3 linked regions of the Canis lupus familiaris genome follow. The protein of the gene in region 1 interacts with the protein of each later gene in a pairwise test. Links are inferred from orthologs where the notes say so. Each region holds a gene or a part of one and is shown on either strand. Other genes may lie near its edges. The genes, in order: SMYD1, ZBTB44 and FAM204A.

Evidence for each region.
Region 2: the proteins of SMYD1 (region 1) and ZBTB44 interact in binary tests that used the Homo sapiens proteins (3 or more experiments, as listed by UniProt). The link is inferred for Canis lupus familiaris from reciprocal best matches to the Homo sapiens genes SMYD1 and ZBTB44.
Region 3: the proteins of SMYD1 (region 1) and FAM204A interact in binary tests that used the Homo sapiens proteins (3 or more experiments, as listed by UniProt). The link is inferred for Canis lupus familiaris from reciprocal best matches to the Homo sapiens genes SMYD1 and FAM204A.

The regions. Positions count from the first base shown.
Region 1 is NC_049238.1:38,543,739-38,547,265, reverse strand, and holds the end of SMYD1 (histone-lysine N-methyltransferase SMYD1), read left to right. Parts: intron 1-982; coding exon 983-1,151; intron 1,152-2,391; coding exon 2,392-2,550; 3' UTR 2,551-2,898; downstream 2,899-3,527. UniProt on the Homo sapiens protein: Methylates histone H3 at 'Lys-4' (H3K4me), seems able to perform both mono-, di-, and trimethylation. Acts as a transcriptional repressor. Essential for cardiomyocyte differentiation and cardiac morphogenesis.
Region 2 is NC_049226.1:4,603,093-4,607,264, reverse strand, and holds the start of ZBTB44 (zinc finger and BTB domain-containing protein 44), read right to left. Parts: upstream 2,805-4,172; 5' UTR 2,711-2,804; intron 1,592-2,710; exon of another isoform or gene 1,539-1,591; intron 1-1,538. UniProt on the Homo sapiens protein: May be involved in transcriptional regulation.
Region 3 is NC_049249.1:29,028,348-29,032,791, forward strand, and holds the start of FAM204A (protein FAM204A), read right to left. Parts: upstream 2,830-4,444; 5' UTR 2,804-2,829; coding exon 2,689-2,803; exon of another isoform or gene 2,639-2,688; intron 2,160-2,638; exon of another isoform or gene 2,047-2,159; intron 1-2,046.

The sequences.
Region 1 (3,527 bases):
GGGATCACTACCTGAGCTGAAGGCAGCCACCCAACTGCTGAGCCACCCAGGCATCCTGCTTTTTTTTTTTTTTTAAGATTTTATTTATTTATTCATGAGAGACAGAGAGAGAGGGAGGCAGAGACACAAGCAGGGTCCATGCAGGGAGCCTGATGTGGGACTTGAGCCCAGGATTACACCCTGGGCTGAAGGCAGGTGCCAAACCGCTGAGCCACTCAGGTGTCCCAATGCTTTGGGTTTTCTTACGGCTAAGTCCACCTTGATTTCAAGGGCTTGGAAAGGTATGTCCCCCTAGCAGTTAGCACAGGCAATCCTGCAACCTTTCTTTTATTAAAATAAAATAAAATAAAAATAAATAAAAGAAGTGTCAGGCATCTTTGCTTACAAAATGCAAAGCCCTTCGCCTTCCATGTCTATATTGGCATGTGACTTTGTATCTTTGGCTCTTTGGCCAAAAGAGTAAGTTGGTACAAGCAGGCTCTTTTTTACTTTTTTTTTTTTTTTTTTTTTTTTTTAGAGAACATTACTCATATATAAAAGTCAGGAAAACTGTACAATATGCAGAAGGAAGCTCTGTTAGGAGCTATTCTCAAGGAGATGAGAATACAGTTCTGTCCCAAGAAGGACATTGAAGTTCTTTTTATTCCCCTGAACTTCTGCTTTCCAGGAAGAGGGCTGGGGTGTTCCCGAGAGCTCCCAGCTTCCTGTTATCTTGCAGGGTCCTCTGACTCTTTTGCCCATGATGACTAGGCTTACTGGCCCAGGGCAGAGTCTCACTCCCACAGGCTCACCCTGGGGAGTGTTTGGTAATTCCTCCCTTTCTCTGTGGCTCAGTTTCTGCTCCATGGGCTGCAGATGCCTCAGCACTGGTGGGAGAGCAGATGGACCAAGTCAGTAAGGGTACTTGGTAAGTCGTCAGATGCTGTGCAAATGTAAGGAAAGTTGGGATTATCTGTTACAATGATTTGCTATGTCCTCACAGGAAGCTCTACCACCCCAATAATGCCCAACTGGGCATGGCCGTGATGCGGGCAGGGCTGACCAACTGGCATGCTGGTAACATTGAGGTGGGGCATGGGATGATCTGTAAAGCCTATGCCATTCTCCTGGTGACCCATGGACCCTCCCACCCCATCACCAAGGACTTAGAGGCAAGTAGCATTTCAGAGCTGGGCCTCCTTTTCTGGTCTAAGCTCTCTCTAAGGGTGGGAGCTGGATTCCAGTTTCTGCTTTTGCAAAGTCCACAGATTACCCACTGAACCAGAAGGGAATTCAGAAATGCTTTAGTCCACTCCCCTTGTTTTACATCTGAGCAAACTAAGGCCCTGGGAAGGGGAGTAACCTGTCTATAGTCACATAGTGAATGGATGGCACAGCTGAGGTTTGAAGTCTGAGATGCTCCAAGTATGGATGGAGAAAGCCTACCCAGCAATGTGGGTGCAGCCATGTACATTAGATGTGCTTTGTAGAGTGGAGCTGGGGAGCACAGGCTCTGGAATCAGACTACTGGGATTGAACTCCAGATTCACTACTCTCCAGCTGTGTGAGTGCAAACACGGAATATGTGGGCCTGAGTCTCCTTATCAGTAAAATGGAGAAAAGGGATAGAGCTGTGATAAGGGTTCAGTGAGTTAATGTGTGAAAAGCACTCAGAACAGTGCCTAGCAAGTAGCATGCTCTTTATAATTGCTGGCTTCCTTTGTGCTTTGAAGGGCATTGTTTATTTGAGGGTGACAGGGTTCAAAGGACTGTACTCAGGCAGTATGGTACAGGGAAAGAGGACAGACTTTGTTGTCATAAAGTGTCTGAGAAGACTGACTTTATGCCTAGTATATCATTCACTGCTGTATTCTCAATTCATCAATGATGACTGGCCCTTGAGAAATATTTCTTGAATAGAAATATGGGTGCATGGGGATTTTCCTAGGTGTCACACACTATGATCTTTCTGGTCTGTTATGAAGTATTAAGGAATCTCACCCATTTATGTGTGAGGAAACTGAGCACTAAAGGGATTGTCACTGGCCTAAAGTCCCACAATGTTAGTTGGGACCTATGTGTGTGTGATCCAGGATTCAAATCCAGTTCCTGCAAACAAACATTCTCTGCTGAGAACAGTCCCTTGAGCTCCTCTCTCAGGGGTCTGACTCCCTCTCCCTAACAAACCAAGCCCAGTCCCAGGACATTGAGGCCCCTAGAGGATGAGTATGTGTGTGTGTCAGTGTGTATAAGTGTGTGTCCGTGTGTCCTCTCAGTGGATACAGCTGAATCTCAGTAACTAGGAGTTATTTGCTCCATTGTCTGCCCTTTTGAAAAGAGCCAAGGAAGATCAGAAGCCAGTATGTCCCAGTGGCCTGTCATCACTGTTTATGGTGTGTCTGTGTCCCACAGGCTATGCGGGTGCAGACGGAGATGGAGCTGCGCATGTTCCGCCAGAATGAGTTCATGTACCACAAGATGCGTGAGGCTGCCCTGAACAACCAGCCCATGCAGGTCATGGCCGAGCCCAGCAATGAGCCAGCGCCAGCTCTGTTCCATAAGAAGCAATGAGGACCTGTCTGGTGGTGGGCTGGGCACCATGGCTGGAGAATTGGGGAGACATTTGGGTTTGGGGGAAGTTGGAGTTGGTGGGTTTGGGGGAAGACCCTTGATGAGGAAGGCCGGATAATGTTCACTCTTGTGGCTGTGGGAATGCACTGTTCTGTGTTCCTCAGTTCATTTTGATTCATTTAAACTCAGTTCAACTTAATTGAACTCTATCCCAGCCCAGCCTAGCCCAACTTATCCTACAAATATTTATGGGGTGGAACACCCTAGGGATAAAGAAGCTTCAAATGTAGCGGGGGAAGCAAAATGTAAACAATTAAACAAGCTTAATAAATGCAATGGTAAACTATATGGGGGCTTCAGTGGAGGGCATGTGTCTGGTATGTGGCGCATGTGCATGTGTGTGTATGTGTGATGCATTGGGAAGGATGTCATGGAAGAGATTACGTTTGAGCTGAGGGTGGCAGGTGCCTGAAATCTCAAGTGGCTGCTCACCTATCTGTGCAGGTCTCTCTGGGGCTGCTGGTCTTACTCATGGTCTGGAATACTCAGGTCTTATGTGACTAGGATTGGTGATACCCAGTTTCCTCAGGTTAGTGTGGGGTTATGAAGAAGGGGCCATGTTCAGGCCATTTAGGTTCTACTCAGAGAATCAAAACCCCTTAGTAAATATGAGAATGAGATGAATATGCACAAAGAGGTAGGGCTTTGCCCTTAGCCACTTGAGGCTTCATTTTAGGGTCTGGATTCCAAGTGTTCTGAAACTATTTCTAAAACACACAGGAGTGTCTCCTGCTCCCCACCCCCCACTGCCAAGCCCTGATTCCCTGTGATGTGGGTGTGACTTGGACAGTAACCGAGATTTTCCTGGCCATTGACCAACCAGGATTGAAGTCTTAGCGGGGTGAAGCTGAGAGAGAAACTTGGAAACACCTATACCTGATGATCATGAGTTCAGAGGAGGTGATTTTGGGGGTTTT
Region 2 (4,172 bases), on another chromosome or scaffold:
AAGGTCTGCTATGTTAAATCTGAATTTGATATATCACTATGAACTTATGATTCAACAAACAAGCAAAAACCCATTTTTTAGTTCTCTCCTCTGAAAGGGCCTTGAAGCAATGACACTCCAGCAGCAAATGAGTATGTCAACATCCTGATCTTGGTTTTTATATACCATTTCTTATTAAAAACAAAAACAAAAACAAAAAAAACAAACAAAAAAAAAAAACCAAACCAAGACTCCTTAGATCCAGACTCCATTCCAGATATAGAGCAAAGAAAGTAACATGGTAAGCCTAGGGTATGTTGTGCCAGAAAGTACTCCAAGAATGCTCCAATAGCAAGCAGAAGTATTTAACAACAACAACAACAACAACAACAAGACATAGGAGCCAGGTTGAAAGGGTTCCTACTATTCAAATCTGGGACAATCTGGTCAAAAAGAAAATTACTGTAATGGTCATTAAAAAAAAAAAAGAATAAATACATTAAAACCCATGAGTCTATAGTGTATCCTGCAAAAAAAAAAAAAAAAAAAAAAAACCAAGAAAAAAATCTCATTTGCCACCATTGAAGGTAACTATTTCTCCAATCCTTTCTCTGAATATTGATAATCAAAGGGAAGAAATTAAGCATTTACTCTGCATTGTTTAGGAGGAACTTCAGCTTACCCCTAGTTAATGAAGGAAATCTTTTTTACAGAAAATCTCCAGTAAAACTGGTTTAATCAAGAGTCACCAAAGAGTGCTAAAATCACTAAACAGAAAGTAGCCAGAAACAAGATATTTGCTTGGTGTCAAAGTATTATCCCAAGATCACATACAAATCAAAGGGTAAAACAAACTCTTACAGCCGATTTGGTAGTCACCGCTTCAGTGGTCATTTGGCATTACCAACAGTGTAGCAATCTGACATTATATACCTGTTCATGAAGCAATGAGAAGTACACAGTATCACCTATTCAATATTCTTGCCAAATAAAGTTACTACCTCAAGCTAATCAAGTTTTTCCTTAGATCTAACTTCCAGTAACAGAAAAGTCAAGGAGCTAGGGGAATAAATTAAATATCACTATGAGGAAATAGACAAGTCTAGAATGTGGGAGCATTCTAAAAGACAAGTGGTTGGGTCAAGTAAGTGTCAGGAAAAAAAAGGTGATGGGTATTATTTTTAAAAGGGGACTAAAGGCATAATGGTCAAATGCAATAATCTCAAGTGAATACAGAAGGGGTAAATTTTCTCAAGGAGATTTTAGAATAAAGAGGAAATTTGCATATGGATTAATTTAGAAAGGTGTAGATGATGACGTTGAGGAGAAGTATGTCCTTTATTTTTAGGAAATGCATGCTGAAATTAGTCGAGGGTCCCCATGTTTGCAACTTACTTTCAAATGGTTAAAGAGAGACACTAAAAGGGAGGAGTGAGGGGGAACAACCTTACTCACTCCATCTACATAGTGAAATATTCATTATTTCTCAATTTCATGAGACAAATCTTTCGTAATAAAAGTGTCCCTGTGCTGAGCGGCAAGGCAGAAACATTACCCACCTTGGAATTCTATCTGGGTACAGATTTCACTTCTAGCTGTGTGATCTGTTCACCTAGACAAAATTCAAGGAATAACGTCTAAGTCATCAGGTTGCTCTGAGAATTAAATAAGACCACATATGCGAGATGCCTGTGTTGCACAAAATAAGTAAATCTGGTTTCCGCAATCGATGAGTGCTATCGTCCTAAAAAAAACACAAAAGGCTACGGGAAAAAAACATTCCTTTGGTGATTTTCACATTGCGTGATAAGGAAACTCCACTAGGCACAATGAAATATTATTAATGCACTGGCAATGCGAAGCAATGAGGGAAGTGAAGATTTGTATGGTGCTTCTTTTTATGATCATTATTTTCTTAAACCCAATAATTCTAACTCCAAGCCCAGGCCAATGGGAATCAGAAATTTTTTACCTGGCCAGACTATCTGCCCTCTTACCACACCGATTAGTGCGTTTAGGGTATTACCAGTCTATGTCCCAACACACCAACCTGTAAGAGAACAAGTGGGAAACCATTTCTTCCTGACCTCAACAGATTCAATCTACTTATACGGTGTAAAAGGGGAAAAAAACAAAAAACAAAAAACCCACAAACAACTTAAGTTTTTGTCTTCATTCCTTCAAGTTCCAATCGAGTGCACAATGAAGATTCCGGGTGGGAGCCGCACGCAGAGCCCCTCGCATCACCTGTGCTGGACGTGCCAGTTTCACCTGCAGGGAACTCCCCACCCCTTCTCCCCCCCCTCCTTGGCTAGGCCGGCAGAAAGCGACTAGCTATGCGGTGATCCTCAGGTAGGGAAGGAAAAGGGGTGTTTGTTGTTATTCTTTTTTTTTTTTTTTTTCCCCCAAGAGTGCCATCCTTTTCTTTGCAGCGGGGGGGGGGGAGGGAGGTGGATGTGGGTGTGTGTGGGGGGCAGGTCTGGGGCTCGCCAGGTGAGAGCAGGTGACTCCGCCGCCCCCGCGGGTTAGGGGGCGCCCCGGCCGAGCGGGGACACTGCTCCTAGCCGCCCCCCCCGGCTGGTCTCCTCCCTGCAGGAGCGGACGCCGCCGAGGGGGCCCGCGAGCCGGGGCTCTGCGTCCCGCGGCGCGGCCGGGCGGGGGGCGCACCTCCCGCCCCCTCCCCTCCCTCCCTCCTTCCCCCCCTCCCCCTCCCCCTCCCCCTCCCCGGTACCTGGGGGCGGCGGCGCCGGGGCCCGGAGGCCTGCTGCTCCTCCTCCCCGCCAGGCTGAGGCGGCGGCGGCGGCGGCGGCGGCGGCGGCCCGGGGGGAGGGGGCGGAGCGCGGGCCCGCCGCCTCTCTCCTCCCCGGGAGCCGGGGGCCCCTACCTGGGGCCGCCGCGCCCGGGCCCGTGGGCGGCCTGCGGCCGGGGCATGGCGTGCCCGCGAGGGGCGCGAGCGCGAGGCGGCGGCGGCGGCGGCGGCGCAGCCCCCGGGGCGCCCGGCGGGAGGGCCGGCGGCGGCGGCTCGCGGGCGCCCGGCGGGGCGGGGCGGGGGAGGGAAGGGGAGTGAGGGGAGGGGAGGGGGCGGCCGGGAGGGGGCCGGCGCCGCGGCCGCTGCCGCTCCGCTCGCTCCAGCCTGCTCGGGGGCACTTTGTTTGTGTCCCACAATGCCGTGCGCGGGCGGCCGGGCTGGGACCGCGAGGGGAGTGGGCGGGGCGGGGCGAGCCGGGGGCGGGGCGCCGGCGCGGTGGGGGCGGGGCGGGCGCGGCCAGTGCGCAGGCGCCGCGGAGGCCGCTCCCGCTCCGGCTCCCGCTCCCGCTCCCGCTCCCGCTCGCGTTGCCGCTGCCCCTGCCCGGGCCGGAGCGGCGGCCGGCGGGCCCGGCTCTCCCCTCCCGCGGGCGTGTGCGCGCCGGTGTCTGTGCGTGTGCACGCGGCCTTCCGCTCGGCGCCCTCTCCGCCAGCCCCTCCGCGCTTACACTAACGGAGGCATTGCTTCCTTTTTTTAATATTTTATTTATTTGGTCGTCAGAGACGCAGGCAGAGGGAGAAGCAGGCTCCACGCAGGGAGCCCAGTGCGGGGCTCGATCCCGGGACTCCAGGGTCACGCCCTGGGCCGAAGGCAGGTGCTCAACCGCTGAGCCACCCGGGCGTCCCTAACGGACGCATTTCTGGGCATGTTCACGCTTCTTGCTTTTTTTTTTTTTTTCCTTCCCTTTTTTTTTTCTTTCTTTGAACTGAAAACGAAAGAAACTCCTCGTTTCTCGAGTGGTTTTTTTGTAGCGGGGCCGAAACCGGAACACCCAGCCCCGTTTCTCTGGGTGAGGGAGGTGAGCCTGCGCTCCGCCCATTTTTCACACGGGGAAACTGAGGCCCGCGAAGACGCGTGGCCGGACACGTGCGGGACGCCATCGCTGTGCTCGCGGACCACCGGGCCCGCGAACCGCCTCCGGACTGGCATCCTTGCAGGGCTCGGAGAGCGTTCTAGCATCTCCCTGGGCGATCTGGCAGGAAGTGCGGTTCTGAAATGAGTGGAGAAATCAACACCCAGATCTGCCTCATCCCCCCCCCAACACGGGGGCACCTGGAGCTGTTCCCACCAATAGGCCTATTCTTTGCATAACCTTGAGTCTCGCTTTATTACACCATCACTTTCCAGGGCCCTACCCCGGGGCGGGGGCGTCCCGATGACCCCGCAG
Region 3 (4,444 bases), on another chromosome or scaffold:
AAACCATGGTTTCTTTTCCCTGTCCATAACATCTTGCGCATGGCCACTGTGTGCCAGGCACTCTTTTAAGACATGGGGACAGGCAAAAATATCTAACTTCATAAAGCCAACATTCTACACACATGGCAAGCGTCTCTGTCCAGCAGCAGCCAAATAGCTCTCCACCCAGACTTCAATTGTGACTGCTAATGAAAAGCATGCACCTCTCTGATGGGCACAGTTCTCCTGCTAGAGCACTGCTTCAATACCCCTATAGAGTGTGTCTATGCTCTGGCCACTCAAATGTGCTTCACCCTGGGGAGCACTCTCGGTTGCCCTGGAGTTGCCTTTCTCCATCACCTCTCAAGCATCTTTTTATTTTTTTACTATTTTTTTCAAGCATCTTTTTAATCACATTCTAGACCTTCCCCAAATCATCTATTTTTAGCTCTCGTTGCTGTGACATTTAGCTGTTCAGTATGACATTGGCTGGTAGAATAATTTCTTGTGGGTGCACATGGGAAAAAGAAAAATTAAAATAAATTTTAGAAAGTAGATCCAAATCCATAAAATAAGGCAAAATTCAGACAACACATTTCTGAACTCAATTCCCGAACATCTTTAAAGTGATATGCCATTCTCCTGTGATTCTAAATACAAACACACACACACACAGGGACAACTCCATGGCCACTGATAAACAAAGATAACTCACTGGGGGAGCCTGCAAAGTGGAGCTGCCCACGTGAGCAGCAACTCAACTGTAAATCAGCCAATATCAAGTGGCTGCTTTATGACTTGCTTTGGGCTCACGTTTGGAAACACTGTCTTTGAATTCACAGTATATATATGTCACGCATACATTTCCAGTCGTACCATGGTACCAACTATGGTACTAGGTTAGGCCTGGCGCTCACTCCTGTTTTGGCTGCTATTAAGGATGATTGTCTAATTCTCTGAAATGTCTCTCACCCCATGCCTTTATTCTAAAGCAAATCATCCCAAATTACCCTTTAAATCTGAAAATTACTCAGCCATTCTCAAGGGATGTGATATACCAGTCAGATGCAATACTGATTAAACCCCAATACCCCAGTGGATAAGGCTTCTCTCCTCAATCCTGCCACCACAGCCAAGATTTCTAGTTTTCAGTAAGACTACATGTCAGACCAAACACCTGAAAGATGCTCTAAAGAAAGCAAAGGAGACCCCTGTTATACAGAAAAAAAAAAAAGAACCAGAAAGAAAAACAAAGCAAGTCAATGCTATATATGGCATATAAACAATGTCACAAACCATGTAACAGAAATTCTTTTACCATGAATCCCCATAACTCTTCCACTAGAAATTACTATCTACAGCCCTTTTACAGGAGAGGGAACTGACTTGCCTAACGCACTGTGACTGTGATCTGCTTATTTTACAAAAACAGAACTCTATGGGCTTCGACTTAGAAACTTTTAGAGGATGCAATTTAAGTAGCAATATATTCTTGGAGACAAAGATTTGAGGGTGGATCTGAAATGACTCTAGCTTGTAATTTTGTTAAAATCTGCTTAATCTTTTTTTTTTTTTTTTTTTTACTTTCTAAAAAGCCGAAAGTCATGTTAAGATGCTATACGAAAACGTATACATAAAAACCACATTCAGAGGTTTGGGTAATAACGTCACCATTTTCTGGAAGATCAAGGCCACTGCTTATAACCAAACCCAACCTGAGTCATTTAGTCTCCTGTCTCTGATATTCCACAATTCCAATTCCACTTTCACTATACGAAGCGGTCTTATTTCCCATACTTTCGCCTTCGACTAGAATCATCACAGAAACCTGAGTTTGGTCTGATGTGAATTTAATTCTAACTTGCATAATAATCTTATAAACCACCGCCCGGCAATCCTGTGAAATGATTTACACAACAATCAGTCTCCGTGACTTGGAACTACTTCACTTTTGACGAAGCACGTTATCATCAACATTCGCGTCCATGTCCTGTTCATGAAGTGTGTTCTCTTTTTCTCAAAAAAAAAAAAAAGGTAAAAACTACGAGACTGAATCAGAGGCCTGACCTCCAGTTTAAGTTCCGCCGTCCGATTCTCCGGACCCGTTCGGCAGGATTTTGTACGTGTGCACAGGTTTCGATGCGATGCAAGTACGTGTTCGGTCAAGGCCTGGAAAGACCCTGCGCGGAGAGACTTACAGTTGACCGGGAACACCTCGAGGCTCATTTTAGGTCGGATGCCGCCGTGACAGTACTTCCTGCGGGGCTGCCCGTCCCGGAGCCCGGAGCCCGAGCGGGACACGCCCGGCCCGGCCCGGCCCCACCACCAAGCGCCGCACAGTCAGGGCGGGACGTCGGGCCCGCGGCCGGTCCCAGCGACCGCAGCCGTCCACACGAGCCTGCTTCCCCCCCGCCCTGGAGCCTCCTCGCCGTCTCACTCTGGCCAGGCCGGGACGGCGAGCCCCTCTCCCCGCAACAGGCTCGGGAAGACGCTGAGACGTCCCTTCCCAGCAAAGAGGGCGGGGGGGGGGGGGGGGGCAGCCTCACCGACGCTCCCGTGAGCCCAGCCGGGGGGGCTTCGCTGGCTCGCCCGTGAGGCTGCGAGGCCGCCCACACTTGCCCCCTCGCTCCCCGCACCCGGCCCTCCCGGACCCGTCAGGTCGGAGACTCGGAGCGACCGGGAAGCGGCCTCCCCATCAGCCGTACTCACCCGTCGGGAGCCGGCCGCCCGGCAGCCATCTTAAGACCCAGCCAACACCGCGCCTCCCCATTGGCTCCGGCTTCTCAGCCAATGGGCTGCGGCCGTTCTGGCCTCGGGTCGTCATGGCAACCGGCCGCGCTTCGCTCCGCTTTCGGATGTGTCTGCAGCGGCGGATTCGTTTCTTTCTGCTTCTTTTCCTTCACCGTTTCCTCCCTTTTCTTCTGGACCTTTTTTAAAGGCTTTGGTTTCCCCCCACCCACCCCACCCCCCATTCCCTGCTGCTCGCTGCTGTTGAGGATGAGGAAAGTGCTGGCTTAGCCCTTGACCTGAGTTCATTTCCCCCAAGGAGGGGAAGTTCGATGTAGATGCTCTCCAGGCTCTTCTGGGAACATTTCCATTCATTCATCCTTTTCCCTCCTCCCTCCCTTCCTTTTTCTTCCTCCTGTACATAATTATTGACCAGGCACCCTGCCAGAAACAGCCCGGACTCCTGCTCTCCTGGTGCTAACCAGCTGCTGCACTGACCAGATGTGGGGCCTTGTCTAAAAAGCTCATCGAACCCCTTTTCTGTGACTGCCACTGGTTCAGGCCCCCGGGCAGGACTTGGGGGAGCATAGAAAATAAGTAAGGAAAAAGAAACTAGAAAAAAAAAAGTGCTATGAAGAATATAAAGCAGGATAATGTGATAGTGATGAGAGAGCAGGCTATTTTTAGAAATGCTTCTATTTTCTGAAATCGTGCTCTGTAATAATGATAAGACTAAAAATACTTTCCTATTTTTTTAAGTATACTATTTTCCAGTTCGTGAGGATGATAAAATACACATAAAGTCCTTAACATAATGCCTAGACCACAGTGATTTTGTCTTAGCTATACTCTAAAAATGTGAAAGAGTTTTGCATTGCACTCTAATATATCATGATTTAGTGTAAACAGATGTTTAAGCTTACTAGGTAACTATTCATTACCTCACCCTCAGTGTGTCCCAGAAGGATATGCCAGGTTTATGGAGTAGTTTTCTGTAAGCCCAGAATCATAATAGAACCTGAATTGACAACCTTGGGTCACTCAAGTCCTTCATGCTGACCTTCTCAGGTTCTAGAATAGAAACAGGTCTGAGGGCACCTGGGTGGCTCAGTGGTTGAGCATCAGCCTTTGGCTCAGGTGATCCTGAAGTCCTGGGATCGAGTCCCACACCAGGCTCCCTGCATGGAGCCTGCTTCTCCTTCTGCCTGTGTTTCTGCCTCTCTCTCTGTGTGTCTCTCATGGATAAATAAATCTTGAAAAAAAAAAAAAAAAAGCAGGTCTGAGTGATTTCAGGATCTGTGTGAAACTCTCTTGGCCAATTGTGTCCAGCTTCTCAATAGGATTTTTCCCCAATCCAAATCTTTTTTTTTTTTTAAAGATTTTATTTATTCATGAGAGATACAGAGAGAGAGAGGCAGAGATACAGGCAGAGAGAGAAAAAGGCTCCATGCAGGCAGCCCAATGTGGGAATCTATCTTGGGACTCCAGGATCACACCCTGGGCGGAAGGCAGACGCCCAACCACCGAGCCACCCAGGGGTCCCCCAATCCAAATCTTTAACAAGTTAGGCAGTTAAAGAAAGGATGTGTATAAAAGTGCCGCTATGGCTGTTGCATTTGGGCCTCTTAGTTACTGTCTTAGTCTGCTCATGCTATCATAACAAAATACCACGCACTGGGTGGCTTAAACAACAGAAGTTAATTTCTTACCATCCTAAAGGTTGAGAAGTCTAATATCA